2 linked regions of the Mus musculus genome follow. The protein of the gene in region 2 interacts with the protein of the main gene of each other region in a pairwise test. Links are inferred from orthologs where the notes say so. Each region holds a gene or a part of one and is shown on either strand. Other genes may lie near its edges. The genes, in order: Gtf2a1 and Nfya.

Region 1 (4,364 bases), on a different chromosome or scaffold from region 2:
GAGTCAACGGCATGGGTTTCAGATGTGGTTAGTCACTGTGTGCTGGCCAGTGTGCAAATCACAGCACTCTGGTAACATTAAAAACAGAGCAGTAATGTATGTCAGGGAGTCAAATATGTAGTAGTTGTATCCGAGTTCCTTTTCTTTTTTCGTCATTTCTACCACCCTAAGAAGTCATCTAAAGTACTTTTGAGTTGGTAGAGGCTGACTCTTTGGGGCATTTTAGCCAAACCACCTAATAGTTTAATTTTGTACAGACAAACGGCTGGAAACACCTACAGGCGTCCCTAATTCTGTAAAGTAGACAGAGGGAGAACAAAGCTTTCCTAGCCTTTGGACTTATACACAACTTCACGAGGTCTGTCCTTTGCAAGAGGCGCGAACTTCCTCCTCATCCGACCTAAGCTCACGAATCAAAAGATGACTCCGCATTTAAAAACTGTCCCAAGCCCCAGCGCGCGGGAGCCGGAAGCCGCGCCACGTGACCCGCCGTCCCTCCGCAGCCATCCTCCGGGGAAGCCTATCGCTTCGGCGGCTACTCCCACTCCTCCGCTCCACCGGAGCGGCTGCGCGTCCACCCGACGCAGCGCTAGGTACCCTTGATCGCTGGCTTCCCTCAATACCCCAGCCTCCTCCGGAGGACGCCTCCCGGTCCAACCGGTCGCCACCACCACCGCCACGGACCGCTTCCGCCAGGGTGCGGACCACGTGATCGCGCGAGCCATAGGGGGGTGGGGAAAAGGCCGCGGCGCGCGCCTTCTTTACTCCAGGCCCGCGGCCCCGCCCACCCGGCCACCCAGCCGGGGCGGGGGGGAGGGGGGGGAAAAGAAACCTGGCGACGCCCCGGGCGCGCGTGCGCACGCGGTTCTCGCGGTGTCTCGCGCTCGGCCCCGCCCCCCGCTGCCCCCGCCCTTTCCGCCCCTCCCTCCCTCCGCCCTGTCTCTCGGCGGCGGCGGCGGCGGCGGCTCGCGCAGCTCGTTGGCTCGCTATATAAAGGGGAGAAGCAGGCGGACCGGACGGCTGGAGCTGCAGCCGGTGGCGGCAGCGGTGGCGCGGGGAGCGGTGACCGGTGTTGGTTTCCCTCCTCGGCGCCGAGTGGGGAGCGGGTGACGCCCCCTAACCCCCTAAGGGGTCGTGGCTAATTTTTTCCCCCATTTTTTCTTTTTTCTTTAGGCGATTCTCGAGGTTTTTAGCTGCGGGAGGAGTGCCCCCCTCCTCCTGCTCTCCCGCCTCTTACTCCTTCTGGATCGGTTTTGTTGAGAGATTTTTTTTTTTTTGCCCCACTCTTGGCGGGTGACTTGGGTCACCCTCCGGGTCTCAGTTGTTTTTTTTTTTTTTTCTTTTTTTTTTTTTTTTTAAATTTTTTTTTCCTTTCTTTCTATCTCGTTCCCTCTTGTTTGTGTTGTGTGTGGAAATGGCGAACTCGGCAAACACAAACACCGTGGTAAGGACGTGGTGCGGTGGCCGGCGGGGGCTGCGAAGGTTCCGGCGGCAGGCAACGGCTGGCTGGGACGGACGGACGGACGGGCGGGCGGGCGGGGGCGGGCCCGGGCGAGGCGGCGCTCCCGACCGGGTCCCCTCCGCCCTCCACCGCCGCCGCTGCCCGCCGCGGGCCTGGCCGGGCGGGGGGGACGCCGAGGACTGGCGGGAGGAGGGCGGCGGGGGCCGGGAGCGCCGCGGGGCGGGCCACGCAGGCCGTTGGGGCCCTGGCTTGCCGACCCCGGGGCGCGGACGGGCGGGCGATGGCCCCACGCGGGGACCCGGACCCGGCCAGTCCCCGAGCGAGCGGCTGCGGGTCGAGCCCCGCGTCTGGGGAAGCCTCTCGGATACCGCCGAGGCCGGGCGTGCCTTCGGGGGCTCTCCGGAGGTGGTGCTTTGGGAGAGCCTCCTTTGGGGCCGATTTTACTAATCCTCCGAAAGGAAAGAAAGAAAGAAAAAAAAAAAGACAAAAAAATTATGAAGGTTGGAAAGCACTTATCTCGGTTCCTCCCCAGTGGGTAAAATGGCGAAGGGGAAGCAAAACCCCCGCGGTATCTTCGACTAGCCTAAGCACCAGAACAAACAAAGCCTACATGAATGGCCCAAGAGTCCCCGCTTTCGCCTCGAGATTTGCCTACTTCTTCCCGTTGCTCCCTTTTTTAAAAAGGAGCAAAAAAAAATTTTTTTTTGGTTACTTGCGATCACGTAGGTTTGCAAAAAGCAGTCACATAAAAATAACCTTTTAAAAGAGTCACCAACGCAATGTGATCACTAGGCCACCCCATCTCTTGATTTCTTTTTATGACAATAAAGCACAATATTTGTTTTTTTGTTTGTTTATTTTTAAAAAAAATTTTTTTTTTTCATTTTGCCCGGTCCCAAACGCCGCAGAGCAGCCTGCGGCTGCCCGACACTATACCGTTGGCGACTCGGGTCGATCCATCATGGCTGCGGCCGCTTACCCTGCTTTTCAGTGCCTGCGCCTTGTGGTCCTCCTCCCTTTGGCTGCCCTGTTTATATAGAGCCATTGCCGCTCTCTAATATAGACTCTGCCAGGATGGGAAGGTGCTTTTCAGGCCTACGTCACCGCCTCTCCATTTAAACACCAGATCCGGCTTTAAATAGTGAGAGCTGCTGAGCGCGGGGCTGGGAGGTGCGTGCTCCCGAGGCGAGAGGAGCCGGCGTGCGGAGCTCATTTTATTTCTAGGCTCCTTTCACGCCGAGATTTCGCTCCGGAGCCGGGAGGCTGTTGTCACGGACCCGAGTGTTTTGCTGTGGCCGCTAGAGTGTACTGCCTTTGTTTGTAGTGGGAAGTAGGCCAGAATTGCAGCCTCGTTTTGTTCTTTCTCCCTTCCCTTTATAAGAGTTTCATTTTAAATCGTTTTAGATCAGATAAAATGATTTCCTCCCCCCCACCCGCCCCCTTGGAGGAGATACGGTCAACATTCTCGGCTTAAAAAAAAAATGCGTTGTACATTAAATGTTTCCGGAGGAGGACTTGAGTTTGGTGGTGTGTTCTTAATACCCAAGGCATGAAGCTTTTCAAAGAAATAGTGACTGACTCTCCCCTGTGAGATCTGTGCTCACAATCTATTGCTTGATGTGTGTGTAGAGGCACAGCCTAAACTGAGCTTTAAGAATTAAAGATTAAGTGGTGGTTTTAATTTTACCAGTGGCTAGCATGGTATCTAGTATAAAAATCCACCTAGGTGACCTAATATTGTGCCTAAAAATTAGCATCTTCTAAAAGGAACCTTTATTAATCACTTGCTAATGCTACATGCAGTCTCTAATTCGCCAGTTTCAGAGTTTGGAATACTGTTTTAAAAGGACAGATCTAAATGACCTTGTATGCCATAAAGACAAAAGCCTGCTGCAGTGAAGTTTAGAATTTAGCATTTCCCTTTTTCCTTCAACAACGGCGCTTCTGAATGGGTTAAGTTGTAGGCTGGTTGCTGAATGATTAATTACATAGTAGCAGAGAAGGGCATTGCCTGCTTCAAGTGTTGGACTCTCCAAGGAAAGGGTTTTAGGGTAACTGATTTCAGAAACATTAAAACATCTGGTTTGCTGGAAATTGATCCTACTAATTTAAAATTACATGGCCAGTATAGAGTTTAGTGGTGTAGCCTGAAGGTAGACCAGGACAGGGAAAAAAACCAAGGTAGCTTTTGTATAATCAAACGCTGATAAGACTGCTGGGTATGACCAGGAGACGACTTGTGAACAAAAAGTTCCCCAACATCTAAGACCTGGAAAGGCTGTGAGATGGGACAGGCGTTAAATCAAGCAGGGCTAGTAGGAACCAGGAGTGACCATGAACTGTTATTAATCATGATGGTAGACATTTTGGTCACCATCAAGGAAATTACTGGAATTTGTGTTGACTGTGCATAAAGAACTTTGGTTTATGAACTACTTTGCCCAGCCTTACAGTTTTCTGTCATTGTCAAATTTAGTTTACAGTGTCTCAGTATATTGATCAGGCTGGCCTGGAACTCTGATATCCTCCTGTCTTTGCCTCCAGAGTGATAAGCCTGGCTTAGGATTGTAGTATCTTTAATTAAAGTCACAATTTAAAATAAATTTTAGATAGTTGGCCAAATGGCTTGTATTTAATAATTATTTAATTATTTCTCAAAGCCTACTATAACATTTTGAAATCAGTCTTTTATTGAATCTTATTTTTCCTTTAAAGCCTAAATTGTATAGATCTGTGATTGAAGATGTTATTAATGACGTACGAGACATTTTTCTGGATGACGGAGTGGATGAACAAGTCCTGATGGAACTAAAAACTGTGAGTTTGTCTCTTTTTAAAAGAATAGTTCAGTAATAAAGAACTTTTCTATAGGATGAATGTTTGACTTTAAGGAGAGACAGTA
Region 2 (4,484 bases):
TTTTTTTTAAGATATTAACAACCTCTGTATTTTACCGCTTCCACTAGCCCCAAGACGCTTTCCTATAAAACTTTCTTCTTGGCTAAATGTCCTAAGTCTGCATCGTCTCAGATTAAATGCAGAATGGAGCCTGAAGTGGGCAAGAGGGCTGGAATAGCTGTAAGGAACATTTGGAGTTGACTCAGTTATCTTGCTGATACAAATGCTCCACTCTTAGGCCATTGAAACCTACTGGGCTTTGGAGGCAGCTTCAAACCCAGCAGCCATTCTGCATTGATAAGGGAGTGGTGGCGCTTGGAGCACAACCCTCAGGTTGCCCATGGTGCCGACTTCTTGGCTCCAGTGCGGCCATATGCTCCTTCCTCCATCAACTCAGCCAGCAGAACTGTGACACAACCTGACACACTTCCTTTCCTTACGCTTTCTGTGCCCAAGTTTATGACAGAATTGAGCCAGCTGGATTTAGTCTGTCTAGCTCTTCTACAGACTTGTGAATGTGTTTTTGAAAGTGAGAATATGAATGAATAGGAATGAGAATGGGTTTATTCTGGCCTCTGAGACATTCTCTTCCATAGCATTTCCTGCCCATTTACATGGCACAGAAGTAGCTGGCCAGCACTTAGAATCTTCAAAAGCTGAAATGCCCAGAAATGCTCCTACAATAAGCATCTGATCACCGCAGTCCATCTGACCTGGCATCACACACACACACCCAGCTAGGGCCTTTGAAGGCTCCAGTGTGCTCCTTGTCTCCACTAAGGAGATAGCATGAACTAAATAACAAAACAAGTTAACTTCAAAGAGGCTTTTAAGTCTAAAAAGGAACAAAAATGTGTATTAGACTCCTAAAGGGAAATACAGTAAATGGAGTTTGGGGGACAGAGGCTTTTCCACTGGGGACAAACCAAGGAAAGCACTGGGAAAGGGTGTCATGTGAGTTAGGTTTAAGTCTGAGATCTCACCCAGATGAAGGTAGTATAGGGTGAAGTATTTCAAACAAAGGGAGATGCCTGGGCTGTGATTAGATTAGAGAAATCGAGAGTCTGCACTACTTTTTCTTAAAGTGCAGATGCAGAGGAACCAGTGGAGGCTCCACAGGTCTGAGTCACAGTGACTGAGGAGAACTGCCTTTTGTCCACAAAAACATTTGGCAGTTTTGAGGTGGACATATGCATCCATTTTTTTTTTTTAAATACCAATCAAAGTTAGAACACCCAGTCCAAATACAAGACTATGGGGTAGAATCCTCAGGTCAGCAACCTTCACCCCCAAGGTTAGGGGAGAAATCCACTCTAGATTAACTTTTAACCTCCAGTCAAAACCGTTTTCAAAAAATTCCTTTGTAAGACCTGCAAAGGTTTTTACCAACTGGACTTTCCCGCCTAAACTCAGTACTCCCGGCCTTTCTGCGTCCAACCGCACTATCTGTTCCAGTTACTCTTTTCAGTCTTTCCTCTCTGAGGACATCACCCTCCATCACCAATCAAAAGCGTGGCGCTGAAAATAGGCTTCCTCATGTAAAGTGCACTTCTGGGTACTGGATCAGATCCCTATGAAACACTAACACCAGTCAATCTCCACCGAGCAGACATAGCTCCTAGCCCTACTCGCTTGCAGCACTTGGGTGACGTCCGCCAAAGACTAATAGCTAGCAGTCCTTGGAAGACTTCCTGTCCCCCGAAGGGGGAAAGAAAATCTAAGCACGTGTAAGTTTTAAAACATCAGTTGAGAAAACGTTCGCGCGGGATTTCAAGGTGTATTAGAAAAAAGAGACACGAGTGGGCCGAGCTATTGAGTGGAGAGATTAAAGGAAAACAAAACCAGAGAGCATCCAAGGGAGAAAAGATCAAGGGAGGAGACAGGGATAATAGGAACTGCGAGATGTGTGCCCCCAATCATTAAGGATGCACAAGGGTTATCAGTTCTGCAACAGCGGCGTTTCAAACACCGAGACACTGAGCAAAAAGAGGAAGAGTGCTTGGTTGGGCTCCAGCACGGAGGTGTGCCGGCACCGCGGGCTGAGCGGGGAGGAAATGACGAGCCAGAAAGGGGTGGTAACGGCGCCGGCCCGGGAGCCCCGGTGGCGGGCCGAGAGGAGGGGCGCGGCAGGCGCGCCAACGGCCCCGGGGTGGGTCTTGGGAGGCCGCGCCGCGCGTCTCAGTCTGGCCTCGCTCCGGATCTGTAGCCCCAACTGTGCAGAGCTCAGGACACACGGGCCTCGTCGGGGCCCGGAATGTGGGGACACACAAGGACAGGCCGTAGGATGAGGCTGGAACGACGTGGGGAAACCGCCACGGTCCGTGGCTGGGCGGTCAGCCACCTGACCTCTCGGGACCGAGGATCGGGGACCGGTGGCGCATCCGCCACCGGCCCCCGGAGACGATCCAGATCCCGAAAAGCCTGGCTCCAGGACGCCGTCCCAACGCTGGACGGCCCCTGCAGGCCTCCACCAACTCCGAGCCGGGGCTACTGGCTACCCAGCTCGGGCAGCCTCGGCTCGACTCCCGGGCTCGACGGACGCCTGGGCCTCTCCTGAGTGGTCAGCGAGACCCGCCAATCGGGGCGCTGGGGCCGGCTCTGGGCCGCTGGATATTGGCTCCTCATACTCACCGTGCCTCGCTCCCCCGGTTCGCTGCCCGCGCTGATTGGCTCCAGTACCGGACCCCGAAACCCAATCAGAGGCTCCAGCCGCCGCTGCCGCCGCCACTGCCGCTGCCTCGCAAAATGGCGAATCTGAACAAAGGGGAATCGGGCCTCCCTCCAACCGCCTTCGCGCAAGCGCCTTCGAGACCACGCCCCATAACCCCGGCCAGCCTGGCCCCGCCCCCTAGGAAGAGCACCGCGCAGGCGTTCCAGAGGCCACACCCACTTCCTGGATTTGACACCGCCTCCCGCCAAAGGCCTACGCAGGCGCCTTTCACACGCTCCGTACGCTGCTGCTTAAACACCTCCCTGAATTATATACCACGCAGGCGCTGACACGCCCCCCTGCCCACCTATTTCTAAGCGTCCACTGGGACCCACCCTCTGGGGCCGAATGCGCAAGCGCTCTTCTTCTCCAGTCGGGGTCGGCATCTCGGTACGCATGCCTGAGCGGTAGCGGGAGCCTACGGAATTTCCCGCCGGAAATTCTGAAGCCCTTACTACCGAGAGCGGGCGCCGCTACCCAGCTAGAGAGGCTCACTTCCGCCCCGTTAAGGGATGGGGGCGGCCATCTTGAGTGTGCGTACAATCAAAAGGCTTTGGCGGGATTTGTTGCGTGTCGGGACTCTTCTGTTGCTTTCCTACCTACGAGGGTTTCATCCCGAACCCTTCCCTGCTTGGAGGAGGGCCTGCTGACGGCCGATTCCTTTGCAGGTGAAGGATGACCCCCCAGTACCCACTTTTCTGCGGGATCCCAGGGTTGCCCTCCTTAGGGTAGGAGGAGAGACGGGGAAGTCTTATCAGACCTTCCTTCCTGTACCTCCAAGACTGGTGGTGATCTTCCCCTGAGAAGCAGTTCTCGGCTCACCCTGCCGCTCAGTGTAACTGTGGCCAGGTCTTTCCCGTTCTAAGCTATATTCTCTGGGAAAATTCTGGACTGTCCTAAACCTTCCCTGCTAGAAGTAAGGAGGTGTGTCTTAGGACCGCCTTTGCTTCGGCTCCTGGAAAGCTGTTTTGTGTTGCCTCTTAGAGGCTGAGTGAGCTCACATCCAGAAAGAATACCTTAAGGAGGTGGGGAAGACTAAATGGGTTGTCAGGGTGATCTGAACACGCTATGTTCGGGCTGCCTGAGCGGTATTTTTTTACTTGCTTTTCCTTTTCATTAGCAGAAGGAACTCTTAAATTCTGGAAATAGCGACTCAGTAGCATGGCCACCCGCCTTAATGAAGATCCAGAAGGAAGTCGAGTGCGTAACAGCTATTAAATTTATCGGTGAAGTGAAAATCAGAATAATTGAGGTCAAAAGCATAAACACTTTTTAATTAAACCAATAATTGGATTCTCGCCCCTCCCTGTTTGTTTCTCTCTAGCTGATTTACTTAGAAAAGGCTAATACAACCCTAGGCAGATAATAACCATCCATCACTTTCCTTTTACAGATACTTTAAAATATCGTGGTTAACTCCTAAGTTGGGAAGAGTTGTCTTTAATTCAGAGTGTCAGAGAAGCAGGGTTGAAGCAGTGGGGGTGGGGCTCTGTTGAAGATCTGAAAGGAGAAATAGTTTTCTGTTTTTAACCTTTTTTTTTTTCCTTTGCACGTTTTAGATCACTTACGTGAAAGGAGATCTTTTCGCATGTCCCAAAACAGACTCTCTAGCCCATTGTATCAGTGAGGATTGTCGAATGGGTGCTGGAATAGCTGTTCTCTTCAAGAAGAGATTCGGAGGGGTGCAGGAACTGTTAAGTCAACGTGAGTTTCCAGAGCATCGTAGCCTGGTTCATGCTGGCTGAAGCCTGATTTGGTCTTCCGCTATACTCTGTGTACATGTACAGTCAAAGAG

Evidence for each region.
Region 1: the proteins of Nfya (region 2) and Gtf2a1 interact in binary tests that used the Homo sapiens proteins (3 or more experiments, as listed by UniProt). The two-hybrid records come from large-scale screens. The link is inferred for Mus musculus from reciprocal best matches to the Homo sapiens genes NFYA and GTF2A1.

What each region holds. Positions count from the first base shown.
Region 1 is NC_000078.6:91,586,615-91,590,978, reverse strand, and holds the start of Gtf2a1 (transcription initiation factor IIA subunit 1), read left to right. Parts: upstream 1-1,329; 5' UTR 1,330-1,414; coding exon 1,415-1,444; intron 1,445-4,177; coding exon 4,178-4,279; intron 4,280-4,364. UniProt on the Homo sapiens protein: TFIIA is a component of the transcription machinery of RNA polymerase II and plays an important role in transcriptional activation. TFIIA in a complex with TBP mediates transcriptional activity.
Region 2 is NC_000083.6:48,407,016-48,411,499, forward strand, and holds the start of Nfya (nuclear transcription factor Y subunit alpha), read right to left. Parts: upstream 2,806-4,484; 5' UTR 2,611-2,805; intron 1-2,610. Other genes in the region: ADP-ribose glycohydrolase OARD1, read left to right, coding at 3,851-3,889, 4,249-4,393. UniProt on the Homo sapiens protein: Component of the sequence-specific heterotrimeric transcription factor (NF-Y) which specifically recognizes a 5'-CCAAT-3' box motif found in the promoters of its target genes.